3 linked regions of the Coturnix japonica genome follow. The protein of the gene in region 3 interacts with the protein of the main gene of each other region in a pairwise test. Links are inferred from orthologs where the notes say so. Each region holds a gene or a part of one and is shown on either strand. Other genes may lie near its edges.

The links.
Region 1: the proteins of LSM3 (region 3) and CLNS1A interact in binary tests that used the Homo sapiens proteins (3 or more experiments, as listed by UniProt). The link is inferred for Coturnix japonica from reciprocal best matches to the Homo sapiens genes LSM3 and CLNS1A.
Region 2: the proteins of LSM3 (region 3) and LSM10 interact in binary tests that used the Homo sapiens proteins (3 or more experiments, as listed by UniProt). The link is inferred for Coturnix japonica from reciprocal best matches to the Homo sapiens genes LSM3 and LSM10.

Annotation. Positions count from the first base shown.
Region 1 is NC_029516.1:172,769,508-172,773,757, forward strand, and holds the start of CLNS1A (methylosome subunit pICln), read left to right. Parts: upstream 1-1,326; 5' UTR 1,327-1,397; coding exon 1,398-1,516; intron 1,517-1,678; coding exon 1,679-1,815; intron 1,816-3,313; coding exon 3,314-3,421; intron 3,422-4,116; coding exon 4,117-4,227; intron 4,228-4,250. UniProt on the Homo sapiens protein: Involved in both the assembly of spliceosomal snRNPs and the methylation of Sm proteins.
Region 2 is NC_029538.1:3,590,757-3,593,679, forward strand, and holds LSM10 (U7 snRNA-associated Sm-like protein LSm10), read left to right. Parts: upstream 1-1,488; 5' UTR 1,489-1,596; intron 1,597-1,860; 5' UTR 1,861-1,867; coding exon 1,868-2,239; 3' UTR 2,240-2,357; downstream 2,358-2,923. Other genes in the region: protein OSCP1, read left to right, coding at 591-730, 1,213-1,276, 1,363-1,479. UniProt on the Homo sapiens protein: Appears to function in the U7 snRNP complex that is involved in histone 3'-end processing. Increases U7 snRNA levels but not histone 3'-end pre-mRNA processing activity, when overexpressed. Required for cell cycle progression from G1 to S phases.
Region 3 is NC_029527.1:8,367,242-8,371,536, reverse strand, and holds LSM3 (U6 snRNA-associated Sm-like protein LSm3), read right to left. Parts: upstream 2,884-4,295; 5' UTR 2,807-2,883; coding exon 2,786-2,806; intron 2,497-2,785; coding exon 2,386-2,496; intron 1,430-2,385; coding exon 1,334-1,429; intron 1,024-1,333; coding exon 943-1,023; 3' UTR 635-942; downstream 1-634. Other genes in the region: XPC (DNA repair protein complementing XP-C cells), read left to right, coding at 2,884-2,998, 3,198-3,396, 4,274-4,295. UniProt on the Homo sapiens protein: Plays a role in pre-mRNA splicing as component of the U4/U6-U5 tri-snRNP complex that is involved in spliceosome assembly, and as component of the precatalytic spliceosome (spliceosome B complex).

The sequences.
Region 1 (4,250 bases), on a different chromosome or scaffold from region 3:
TCCCTTCCAAATTTGCCTTGCCTTCCCTTCCCTACCCTACCCACCATACCCTGATCTTTGAAGGTCCCTTCCAAATTAACACCTTGCCTTGCCTTCCCTTCTCTACCTGAAGGTTCCTTCCAAATTAACACCTTGCCTTGCCTTCCCTTTCCTTCCTGAAGGTCCCTTCCAATTAACACCTTTCCCTTCCCTCCCTTCCTTTCCCTTCCCTACCATACCCTGATCTTTGAAGGTCCCTTCCAAATTAACACCTTGCCTTGCCTTCCCTTCCCTACCTGAAGGTCCCTTCCAATTAACACCTTTCCCTTCCCTTCCCTTCCCTTCCCTTCCCTTCCCTTCCCTTCCCTTCCTCTTACTCTCTCCACCACGTGAGCACCCCACCAATTACACACCTTCTTACTCCCCATTACCCTTATCTTCCCCACTCCGTTAACTTCTCGTCACCTCCTGAGCGACTCAGCTCCCGGGCGCTAGAAAGCGGACAAGGGATGGCCGGCCACAGCCCTGCCCTAGGGGCACCTCCAGCCACCTGCAACCACGCCCAGACCTAGAGGCCAAAGACAAAAAAGACCTACGCCGAGCCCCTACGCCAATATGAACACAAATTCTACCCTGTACCCTACCCCCACCTCTGAGCCCTACGCCACCCTCCTACCCTACTAAATGACCTACGTGCAACGTTAGGCCGTACCGAGCAGACTCCCACCCGCTGGGTCACCTACTCCCTAAGTACCCTATGCCTAAGCCCCTACCGCTAATCTTTCCCCAGACCCTAAACGCCATACCCCCTGCCGTACCGCTGAGCCCCATCTGGCCTACCCTACTAAGACCAAATTTAACACCTCTTCTACCCCTAACCCTCTTTACCACACACCCCACCCTCTACTCAGACGCTAAACCCGCCTAGCCTATCTAACACTAACAATTTATTCCTCCCCACCCTACCCAGAACTCACCGCGTCAACACCAATACCTACCCTACCCCACCCCACCCTACCCAACTCTACCCTACCTACAACCTACCCTATCCCACCCCACCCTACCCAACTCTACCCTACCTACAACCTACCCTACCCTACCAATTAACACCTTCTACCCTACCCTACAACCTACCCTACCCTACAACCTACCCTACTCTACCCCACCCTAACCCTACCCTACCCTAACACCTCCTACCCTACCCTACCCTACCCCACCCTACCCTACCAATTAACACCTTCTACCCTACCCTACCCCACCCTACCCTACCCGCCACAAGATGGCAGCGCTGATGCACGGTCGTTTCGCACCATAGAGTCGGATCCAGAGCGGCCCGACAACGCCGCCATTTCCTTTTCCGGCGGCGGTGGGAGGGAGGAAGAGGAGGAGGAGGAGGGGGAGGCGGTGTTGGCTGCGCCATGAGTTTCCTGAAGCGGTTCCCGCCGCCGGCCGATGGTGTCCGGCACCGGCAGCCCGACACGGAGGCGGTGCTGTCGGGCCGCAGTCTGGGTGCCGGGACGCTCTACATAGCAGAGAGGTGAGCGGGGTCTATGGGGGCGGTTATGAGGGCTGTGGGTGCGCTGTAGGCCGCGGGGGGTGCGCTGAGGGGAACGATTGGATTTGATTTGCTTCTCTCCAGGTTCAGGTACTAATTTCTAACTTCTCTCTTACGTGTGTTTCTCTTTAACCCCCTTTTTAGCCGCCTGTCATGGCTGGAAAACTCAGGAGTTGGCTTCTCCTTGGATTATCCCACCATAAGTTTACATGCTGTCTCCAGGGACCTGAACGCGTACCCCTGGGAGCACCTGTATGTCATGGTGAACGCCAGGTTTGAAGGTAAGGCCCACCATCCCTCCCTCAAAAAGGGAATTAGTTTTGCTTTTTAAAGCCTAAACCCTTAATTCAAGCAGTATCTTTTCATCTCCGTGAAGGATAATTACAGTAGGGCTGAAGTTTCATTAAAAGACAGTGATTCGTGTTATTGAGCTTAATAGATATTCATAGCATTCCCACTCCTGCCAGACCCTTTAATGCTTTTAAGTCTCATCAACTCTGCTGTATTGTATCATTTGAAGAGCAGTGAGTGCTAAGCCTTGAAGAAAGATGTTATTTCCAGCTTCTAATTGTTACAGTGATACTTGAAAATCTTTCCTGTGATAATTCCAGTCAATAAAACCTCAATGAGTTGACATAAAAGAATTCAAAACCTCGATAGATCGACATAAAAGAATTCTGGCCACAGTAGGTGCCCAGCTAAGGGTGAGTCTGAGTGTTCAGCTCTCATGTCTGTCCCTGACCGACCCATGGTTTTAACTGTTTAAAACAGTGTTATATGGAAACATCACTGCTTTGCTGGCTGCAGGAGTCTTGATTTTCAGTTGGGCACAGTACATCTTGTTCTTCTTTGGATGTTTTAGTAGTGCTCTGTGTGTATATTTGCCTCATTTTCAGCCTTCTTTAGAGGAAGGCAGGCAGGGGTTGACTTGGTTGAAAACAAAGAGCTGGATGTAGCAGCAGCAGCAAACTGAGCATGGGGAGGTCAATTCCAAAGGGACTGGGTGAATTCCTTGGATGTATCATTGTTTGGCTGGCAGCTTCTTGGCATCTTCGTGTTCTTCTCGTTGCCAGTTCTGTTCATAATAAAAGCCACTCTTTGTGAATACAGCTTTACTCTAGTCCTCTTTTGCTGTAGAAAGTAACCATGCAGTTTTGAAGCTGTCAGTTCAACCTCCCCAGCCACAAAGGGATGAGCTGTAAGCTGTATCCTGCGTGGATTTTGTTTTTACGGAAGTAGAACATCGTGTTCTTGCTCACTTATTCAATTATGTGGTACACAGTAGTCAGGAAGCAAAGTTTTACCCGCAGCTGACATGGGCTGTGGGGAGACTTTTTGCTTCATTGCTTTAGTGGTTTGCTAAGAACACAAGAAATTGAGTATGGCCTCCTGTCAACGTCAGTCCTATGTGGGAGGCCAGACTGGAAACTGGCTGATCTCAGGGCAGCAGTGCAAGGGATCCCTAATACCTAAGATTCTTAAGTTAACGATTGTATACGTAGCTCAACCGCTCTGCGGTTAAGCAGTAAGGATTGTGGATTACATGAATGCTATAGAAAACTTGGCTCCTCAAATTGAAAGCAGAGTTCTTGTGTGCATTGCAAGCTTCTCCAGGGTGCTGTGAGAGGACCCTGTGTGTCTGCAGATGGATGGGAGCAGGTTTGTTTGTTGCAGGCTCTGTCCGGGTTTCTGATTTGCTTATGGTTCTAAAGGTGCTAAAGCTGTCTCTTTTTTTGGATAAAATAATCATTTTTCTCTTTTAATCTGAATTTCCTGAAGAGGAGGAGACAAAGGAGGCCCCCATGGCTGAAGGGGAGGAGGAAGACAGCGATGATGACATCGAACCAATTGCAGAGTTCAGATTTGTGCCTAGCGACAAATCAGCCTGTAAGTGATGGGGAAGGGGTGCTGTACCTGATGTGAATGGCACAGGCCTTCAGTGTCTTCTTAGCATTTAATTAGGAACATGCTAATGTTCAGATGCTACCACTGGAAAACAATCATACCCTGTCTTGTGGGGAGCTTCCAGTTGGATCCAATTTCTAAGCATCTGACACATTAGATACTGCAAGGACTCCTGAGGTGGGTAACCACTGACTGAGTTGCTGCTGTTGCCTCTGTTGAACCTTTGTCATCAGTGACATGATGGAAGCATGCGTGGAGAACTAGGTTGGATTAAATCTGATGTTAATCTGGAGAGTCTGGTCATGCCACATCTGGTTGCCACCTGTTGTGACTTCCTAACCTTGAAGTGTGCCAAGCCCTAATGTCAGATCAGACTTCTGATTTTCAACCCTTGCAAGTAGAGCAACTATTAAAATACAGTGCAAAAGCTGCTTCTAACAGCATCTTAGCTGAAGTTGCCACTTCCTAGCTGAGGAGGGAGCCTGATTTTGCAGGTGTGGTTCCTGGAAGTCCAGCTGTGCTTCCAGCTGCTGGGTGGAACTGCAGGTTCCCTGCTCGCCAGCTGAGAGGCGCCAGCCCTACTGAGCACTTGCACTTCACAGCTGCCAACTGAAAGATAACTCCTGGTGTCTTTCCTTTGGGCTGCTTGCTGAGATGATTCTGTTTTGTTCGTACAGTGGAAGCCATGTTTTCAGCAATGTGTGAATGCCAAGCTCTGCACCCAGACCCAGAAGATGAGGATTCAGACAATGACTACGAAGGCGACGAGTATGATGTGGAGGCCCGTGGTTCGTAAGAGTTGTTTCTTTCT
Region 2 (2,923 bases), on a different chromosome or scaffold from region 3:
GTCACACACGGGAGAGGGGTTTCCTCTGGGCAGTTTCACTGCACCCATCAGACTTTACATTCTGTTTCCCCCATCTCTTAATAGCTGGGGTCACTGGATCAAGCACACACGCTGCCCTTCTCCAACTCATTCACTGGATAGCTGCATTCTCTTTCATTTATCTCCTTTCTCATGTAACATCATTTGAGTTAGTGCTCTCAGGGTACCTGTTTACTTCTTTCTCTCCAAACCTCAGCAGTTCTCCATGACCCCATCTGAGTGAGGCTATGGGCACGTTTCCCTAAGTAATAGTAGACATAAGCTGATGAAGTGGCCTGCTGAAATCTTGCTTCCTCTTTTTAACTTCTTCAGAAAACAGGGAGCTGAGTTTGCTGATTTCACTTTGATTTAGCTGGAAAACTGCCTTGTCCTGGGTCTAGAAATTCAAGCAACCACCTTATTAACCCATGACTAATAATGATGAGTTGCCTGTATCATTAACAGTACATGAATGTGTTTGTGTATATTGAGGTAATATGAGAATATAGTAGCTTTGTTAGTCCTCTTCTTCCTGGTAACCTGACCAATGAACCCATTGCTGTTTTCTGCAGGAGAATATAACCCCTAACCCTCTTGCTAAAGAAGAACTGAACTTCTTGGCCAGGCTGCTGGGAGGTCTGGACATCAAGAAACCTAGTGGCAGTGAGACAGGATTCCGACTGAATTTATTCATGACAGATGAAGAAGAAGAGTATGATGCAGCTGGTTGTGGTCTGGGGGTTGTGATTTAATGATACGTGGACAAAACCTGGAGGCTGAAGCTGATCCTTAACAGCTTTAATACTGCCTTCAGGTGATGCTGGGGCACTGACAGTCTGGTGTGTGCCTTCAGCACCCTTAGCTTTCCTGTCCTACAGTCACTTCAGAGAGATGCAATAAGTGAAGGGAGGTGAGGAGGCAGATAGGCTGGAGCACTGCAGCCCCCTCCTGGCAGGGAGACGTTTCCACTGCTTTACATTTAGCATCAGAAAACCCAAAGCAGGGTTCAGTCTCCAAAATGGGATCAGCATCCTAGTTTGCCTGCTAGAAACAGCAGTGCTGTCTAAATTTCTCATAGGTACGAGTCGCTTACCACCTTCTTGCATGGACCATTGAAAAACACTACTGACCTGTGGAACGGGTGGGATGTGACAGGATGGCACCACATTAAGCACTCTATATTTTCAATTAAAGGCAGGCGGCGCTGACAAGACCCGAGGAGTTCTCATACAAGGTTGTGAACATTGAAGCCACCGAGGTACGTTCAGCTGCAATTCACATACATTCAAACTACTACGATAAGAGCTTTATTTATCGCCTGGCTGAGCCTTTATCTCTACTCAGGAGCCGGCGAGGAGAGCGGAGCTGGATCGAATCATGGGCGACCTGCAGGTGGCGGAACAGTGCGAGGAGAGCTGCGGGAAGGGAGAGGACCTGCTGGCTCTGATGGACGGGTTGTGAGCCATTAAAGGCGTTTCTTCCATCCTGCCTCCGAGCCGACGAGTGGGGCGGGGACGAACGGGGAGGGATCAAGCGGGGCAGCGAGAAACAGGGGCCGCCCCTTCATGTTGCCGGGCGGTGAGTGGGATGGGGGCTAAAAGTGGGGTGAGGGAGCTGCGGGGGTGAGTGTGGGTTTTGGGTGGGGGTCTGAATGTGTGGGGTGGGAGTTGTGTGAGTGCATAAAGGGGGTGGGGGCACCCCTGTGTGCAAAGGGGGGGATGTGATGAGCACTGGGCGTGCAAGGGGAGGAGGCAGGCGATGGAGCTGCCATGCTGGTGTGTATATACACGAGTCCTGCAGGTGGAGGTGCTGGTGGTGCATCTCCCCATTCATATGCTGCAGCCCCACCATGGAGGTCAGCCACTCAGTCAAGGAGCGCACCATCGCCGAGAACAGCCTGGTGATCCTGCTGCAAGGTCTGCACGGCCACGTCACCACCGTGGATCTCCGCGACGAGAGCACGGCCACGGGACGAGTGTCCAACGTCGACGCCTTCATGAACATCCGCCTGGCCCAGGTGACGTTCACGGACAGACGAGGGGAGGTGTCGCAGCTGGACGAGATGTTCGTGGCGGGCAGGAACGTGCGCTACGTGCACATCCCGGATGGGGTGGACATCAGGGCCACCATCGAGCGGCAGCTGCAGGCCATCCACCGCGTGCGCTACTTCGGGGGCCGCGACAAGGGCAGGAGGGAGTTCCCTCGAGCCAAGCACAAATGAGCCCCATTCCTCAATCAACAGCCCAGCTTGGAAGCTCCATCCCTGTGTAATGGCAGCTACTCCTTTATCCCTGTCCTTATGTTTTTCCAGCTCTCAAACAAAGCCCTTTTGGCCTCAGTGCTTGGCTCTGCAGTGATCATTGCCTATAGGCTCTATAGGGCTGCCAGCTACTCCTCCATCCCTCTCTTTATGTATTTCCAGCTCTTAAAGCCCTTTTGGCCACACTGATCATTGCCTACAGGCTCTATAGGGCTGGCAGCTGCTCCTTTATCCCTCTCCTTATGGATTTCCAGCTCTTAAAGCCCTTTTGGCCTCAGTGCTCGTTGCCTATAGGCTCTATAGGGCTGTATCTATAGCTCCTGGGGCCTGGCTGCCTGCATGGGCCTGGTCTGAGGGTGGGCAGTGGGCAGTGCATGGGGTACTGCCATCATGGCGTCCATCTTAAGGCCTAGCACCACGCATGGGGGCGGTGGAGCAGTGCGCATGCGCGGGTGGGAGGGGGCGGGCCTTGAGGTGTTTCTCTTCCAATCAAAGCGCGGATAACATCCCGCCCGCCGACCAACCCGCTCACACAGCATGCACCAATCAACGGAGAGAGTTATCTCTCATCAGCCAATCAATCATCACCACTCAGCCAATTAGTGCTCGCCTCCCATCACTCTATCAACACCCCTCTCGCAGCCA
Region 3 (4,295 bases):
GCCCAAGTCTATGTCTATAATATGCCTTTCAAATATACTCGTAAAACATTCCATAGCCATTCCAAGTAAAACATTCATTCCCCTTCCAGCCCCACCATGAGAATAAAGTGCAATCAGGAAGGCCTGAGAAACTATGTATTAAAAAAAGCAGTGTACAAGGCTCTTGTGCACCCACTGATAACCAGGAAGCATCTTTGGTTTTCTACAGAATTTAATGTGTTCAAGAACTGAAAATGGCTACAAATGGTGGCAAATGAATGCATAAATCAGGCTACTAAATTTGTTTCCTACTGATGGTATTGCTAAGCTTTGCTCTGCTAACAAAGCTGCAAGAGAAGCATCTGAAAAAGCTGTAAAAATTCTATTCTATCAATGCATTTTAAGCAGGACACAGAATTTCTCTCCTACAAGGATATGTTTACATAAAACCATAGATTAGTACACCATAGACCAACACAGTGTTGCCCTCCTCCAAAACATCAATCTGGAAAACTTCAGTATGGACAAAAATCAAAACACCAAACAAGTCACTGCTTTCTCAGGAAGCAAAGCCACATTATCACAACTTAATACAGCATTAGCACTAGAGAAGTTCATTAAAATCACCTTTTCAACAAAAACATAACACATCAAATCTGAAAGGTAAACCAAATTTATTTAAAACAAACAAAAAAAGACACTGCTATTCCCAAGATTGAAAAAACAGGGTGCTTTTACTTATGTCACACACAGCTCATTTACAGCAGTTACATTAATTCAGGGGAAAATGAGGTTTTCACACTGCTTCAGCTGACAGGTACTTTCTGCAAGAAAAACTCATTCCTCTTCCACAAAAAATAGGCAAAAACGTTCTATTAAAAAGTGTATGCAATTCTGAGACATGATCAAAACAAATCGTCCAAGAGCCTGAAACCTTCCAAGAAGGTTCAATCCTTGGTTGCTTCAGCCAACCCTCAGCGGGGGAGCTACAAGCACAACGCCGTCACCTCTGACAAAGAGCATCGGAATATTCCTTTTGGTAGACTATGAAGAAGCAAAGAAAAGATTACATTTACAAAAGAGAAGTATACAGAACACATCTACTAAGCATGTGACAAAATTCAATCCTAAAAAAACACCAACAAACATCAGCTCAAACATGCAACTTCGCGTCCTGCTGAAGATATCAAAATCAACAAGCACCTGGATGTCCTTTGTGCTTTCATAACAATTTGCCTAAAACACCTGCTAGATCCTAGTCCAAAAGGTGCAGTTATCAACACATTATTTTGACAACATGACAATCTAGATTGCAAGAAGTTTTCTATGGAGGTAAATACACTGAAGTCCTTACTTTATAAATCTCTTCGTATGTTTCTTCGTCAATCTCTATTGTTGTTACAGTTTCTTCCACATCGCCCAGAATCATATTTAAGTGCTGATCATATGCCTGTAGGAACAAAGTTCATTACTTCTTCCAAAATTCAAGCACAAGCTCATTAAATCCATAATTCTAGCAAGACACTCAAACAAAATTATTTTAACCTGATTTGGGTCAAGATGTTCCATGTGTGAACATGATGTATCAGCTGTAACTTCAACTATAAAGGCCAACATCAGTACTCCACAGCATAAGGAAGGCTCTTATACTCACTGAAACTCTCCTTCTGAAGCTCATGCACAAACTCTCAGAGGTGGACACACTTGTTCTTGTCGTTAGCATTAATCCAACTAAATATTATTTGCTATCAGCCCAGATTTCTGGGATTGGATTATCTATAGCTATGAGAGCTGTAACTCAAACAACAATACATAAATTTTAATTAAGCACTTGTTCCAAACACCCTACAAAGGGAACTTAGGAATTATACCAGTGCATCACAGATCTGTCCTCACCTTTTTGTTCTCAAATGTATTTGAGGCCCAGTTACCACATGGGAAACTGGTTCCCTTCCTCAGCACAGCACCACATTCCAGAAGGATAACACAACCAAACAGAAAACAAAAGTTTGTCTCACTAAGAGACATCGCTCTCAAAAGAAAACAAAGAACAAATCAAGTATGGAGAGAACCCAGCTGAGTACACATCCCAGCAGTCCTTGGGTTTGCTCTACAAGACAGTTGCTTGATATACTTATTTCCATCTTAACAGAGTCGAGAGTCCTTTATGAGATGATGCCTGCATTATTACTTAGTCCACAGACATGGGAATAAAAGCAAAAATCAAGAGAACGAATCACTTGGAATCATTTAAAAGACAACAGACACGGAAAAACAAAATGCACCTTTTGAATCTCTGGCAGAACACTGCACAAACCAAGCGCTGCTGTTGAGCACATTACAGTAACATAACAAATAGTTGCACATAACAGCACAGCCTGCTGCCTGCTTGGAATTGGCACTCACATGCAGCCTGCCTCTGAGCTCTCTGTCATTCCTCATCTTCACATAGATCCTCTCATCCAGACTGAGCCTGATGAGGTCGAGGGGCTCCTCGACGGTATTCGTTGTCTGTTGCTGAAAACAACACCGAAACAAGCAGTTATTCACGCAGGAGCAGTGAATACGAACTCCTCCACTCCTCAGTTTGCATTCTGAAACGCTCCCTCAAGTCCCAGTATCCACACAGAAGCAGACAGGCTGCATGGCTCAAACCAACACGGCAGCACGGCATATGGCAAAGGGAAGGCACACGGATGTGCCACCAACCCACCAGCTCTCTCTTCAGGCCCTCACCACCTCACTTGGCAGCCGGGGTGGCCGCAGAAACACCGCTCCCCCCTAAGAAAAGTAAAGAGCCATTCACCTGATCCACCTCGTCCGCCATCTTTCAAACCGCTTCTCGCTCTCTCTCGTGATACTTTATGGCCCGGCCTCTTCCCCCCGCTCTGAAGGGGCGGGGTAATGCTCGCCGCTATGGCGAGGAAGCGCAAAGCGTCGGTTCAGCGGGTGTCTGCCGGCAAAAGGCGGCCTGGAGGGGTGGGAGTACGGCGGGATGGTGCGGAGGAACGTGAGGAGGGTGAGTGTGGGAGGCTCGGCTTCTGGGGCTGCTCTGCTTTGAGGGAGGGAGGCAGTCAGCATGGAGCTCAGCAGCCCCCCATGATGGGCCGGGGCTGGAGTTGTTCAGTGCAGCTCTGCTGGAGCCTGCAGAGATATTGCTATGTATCCATAGGGATGAGGTTATATCCATGAAGAAAATTTCTTTCTTTTCGATGTAGGTGATTTTGTTGAAGAAAAACACAGTGTAAAGAAGAGCAGAGCCGGAGTTGCAGCTAGGAAGAAGGAGGAAGACAGTGATGCTGGAATTGCTAAGTTAGCAGAGAAGCCTTCAAAACAAAAAGGGGTAAAAGGGCGAGTGAAAGAAAATGAGAGAGACCCTGAAAATAAAGGGGATGATCACGAAGAGGAAAAGTGCAGGTAAGCTTAGCTGTTGTTCATCATGATGCGCTCTGTACCTCACTGTGGGTTGGATGTTGTGGTTGTTGTGGGTTGGATGTTGTGGTTGTTGTGGGTTGGATGTTGTGGTTGTTGTGTAGGGTCCATTGCCCTACAATGTTCACATAAAGGGGTTACGTTAAGCTGGCAGGCCAGTTTAGTTTGTCTGTGACACACAGCTGTACAGAAGTACTGCCTGGCTGATGGCAGGATCTGTCTGAGGAAGGCAGTCTGCATGGGAAGCAAATATCTGAGCCTTTTCAAATCAATATCGTAATTGTAAGATAGCGTTTCATTTATTTCTACACAAGACTAGGGAGGTTTTATGGCATCGAGCATGAACAGAAACATTGCTGTGAGATATATGGTCTTCCTGTAGAGATTTCAAGGGGGATTGTATTAATGAGAAGAATGAAGCTGCTTGGTCTCATTTCACTGGCCAACCAAATCATTGGGTGTTAGCGTAGTGAAACACAAGCACTTCCAATCCCAGTGCATTATGAGGTCTCAGTAAAGACAAATGATTCAATGAAGACATTCATACAAGCTGTTAGGAAAGATGGGTCATTGTTTTTAGGTTCAGTCATCTTCATTCAAACAACCTGTTAGAACCAGGACCTGTGTCTGCACTGAAACGTTGTTGTTCAACGAGCCTGTAATTATTCATGGCAAAGACTGCTCGCTTTACAGGCACACACACGGTTCAGTTGTCAAATACTTACAACCTTTACATCTGTTGTTACTGATGCAGAGATGATGCTTTGTTTATTTCCTCATTTTTGTTTTCATTCCCTTCCATTTTTAAATGAACAAACCCATGCACTTCCTGATGCTAAAACCATTCTTGTAATTTTAATAGTGACTCAGTGAAGGCCCCTCAG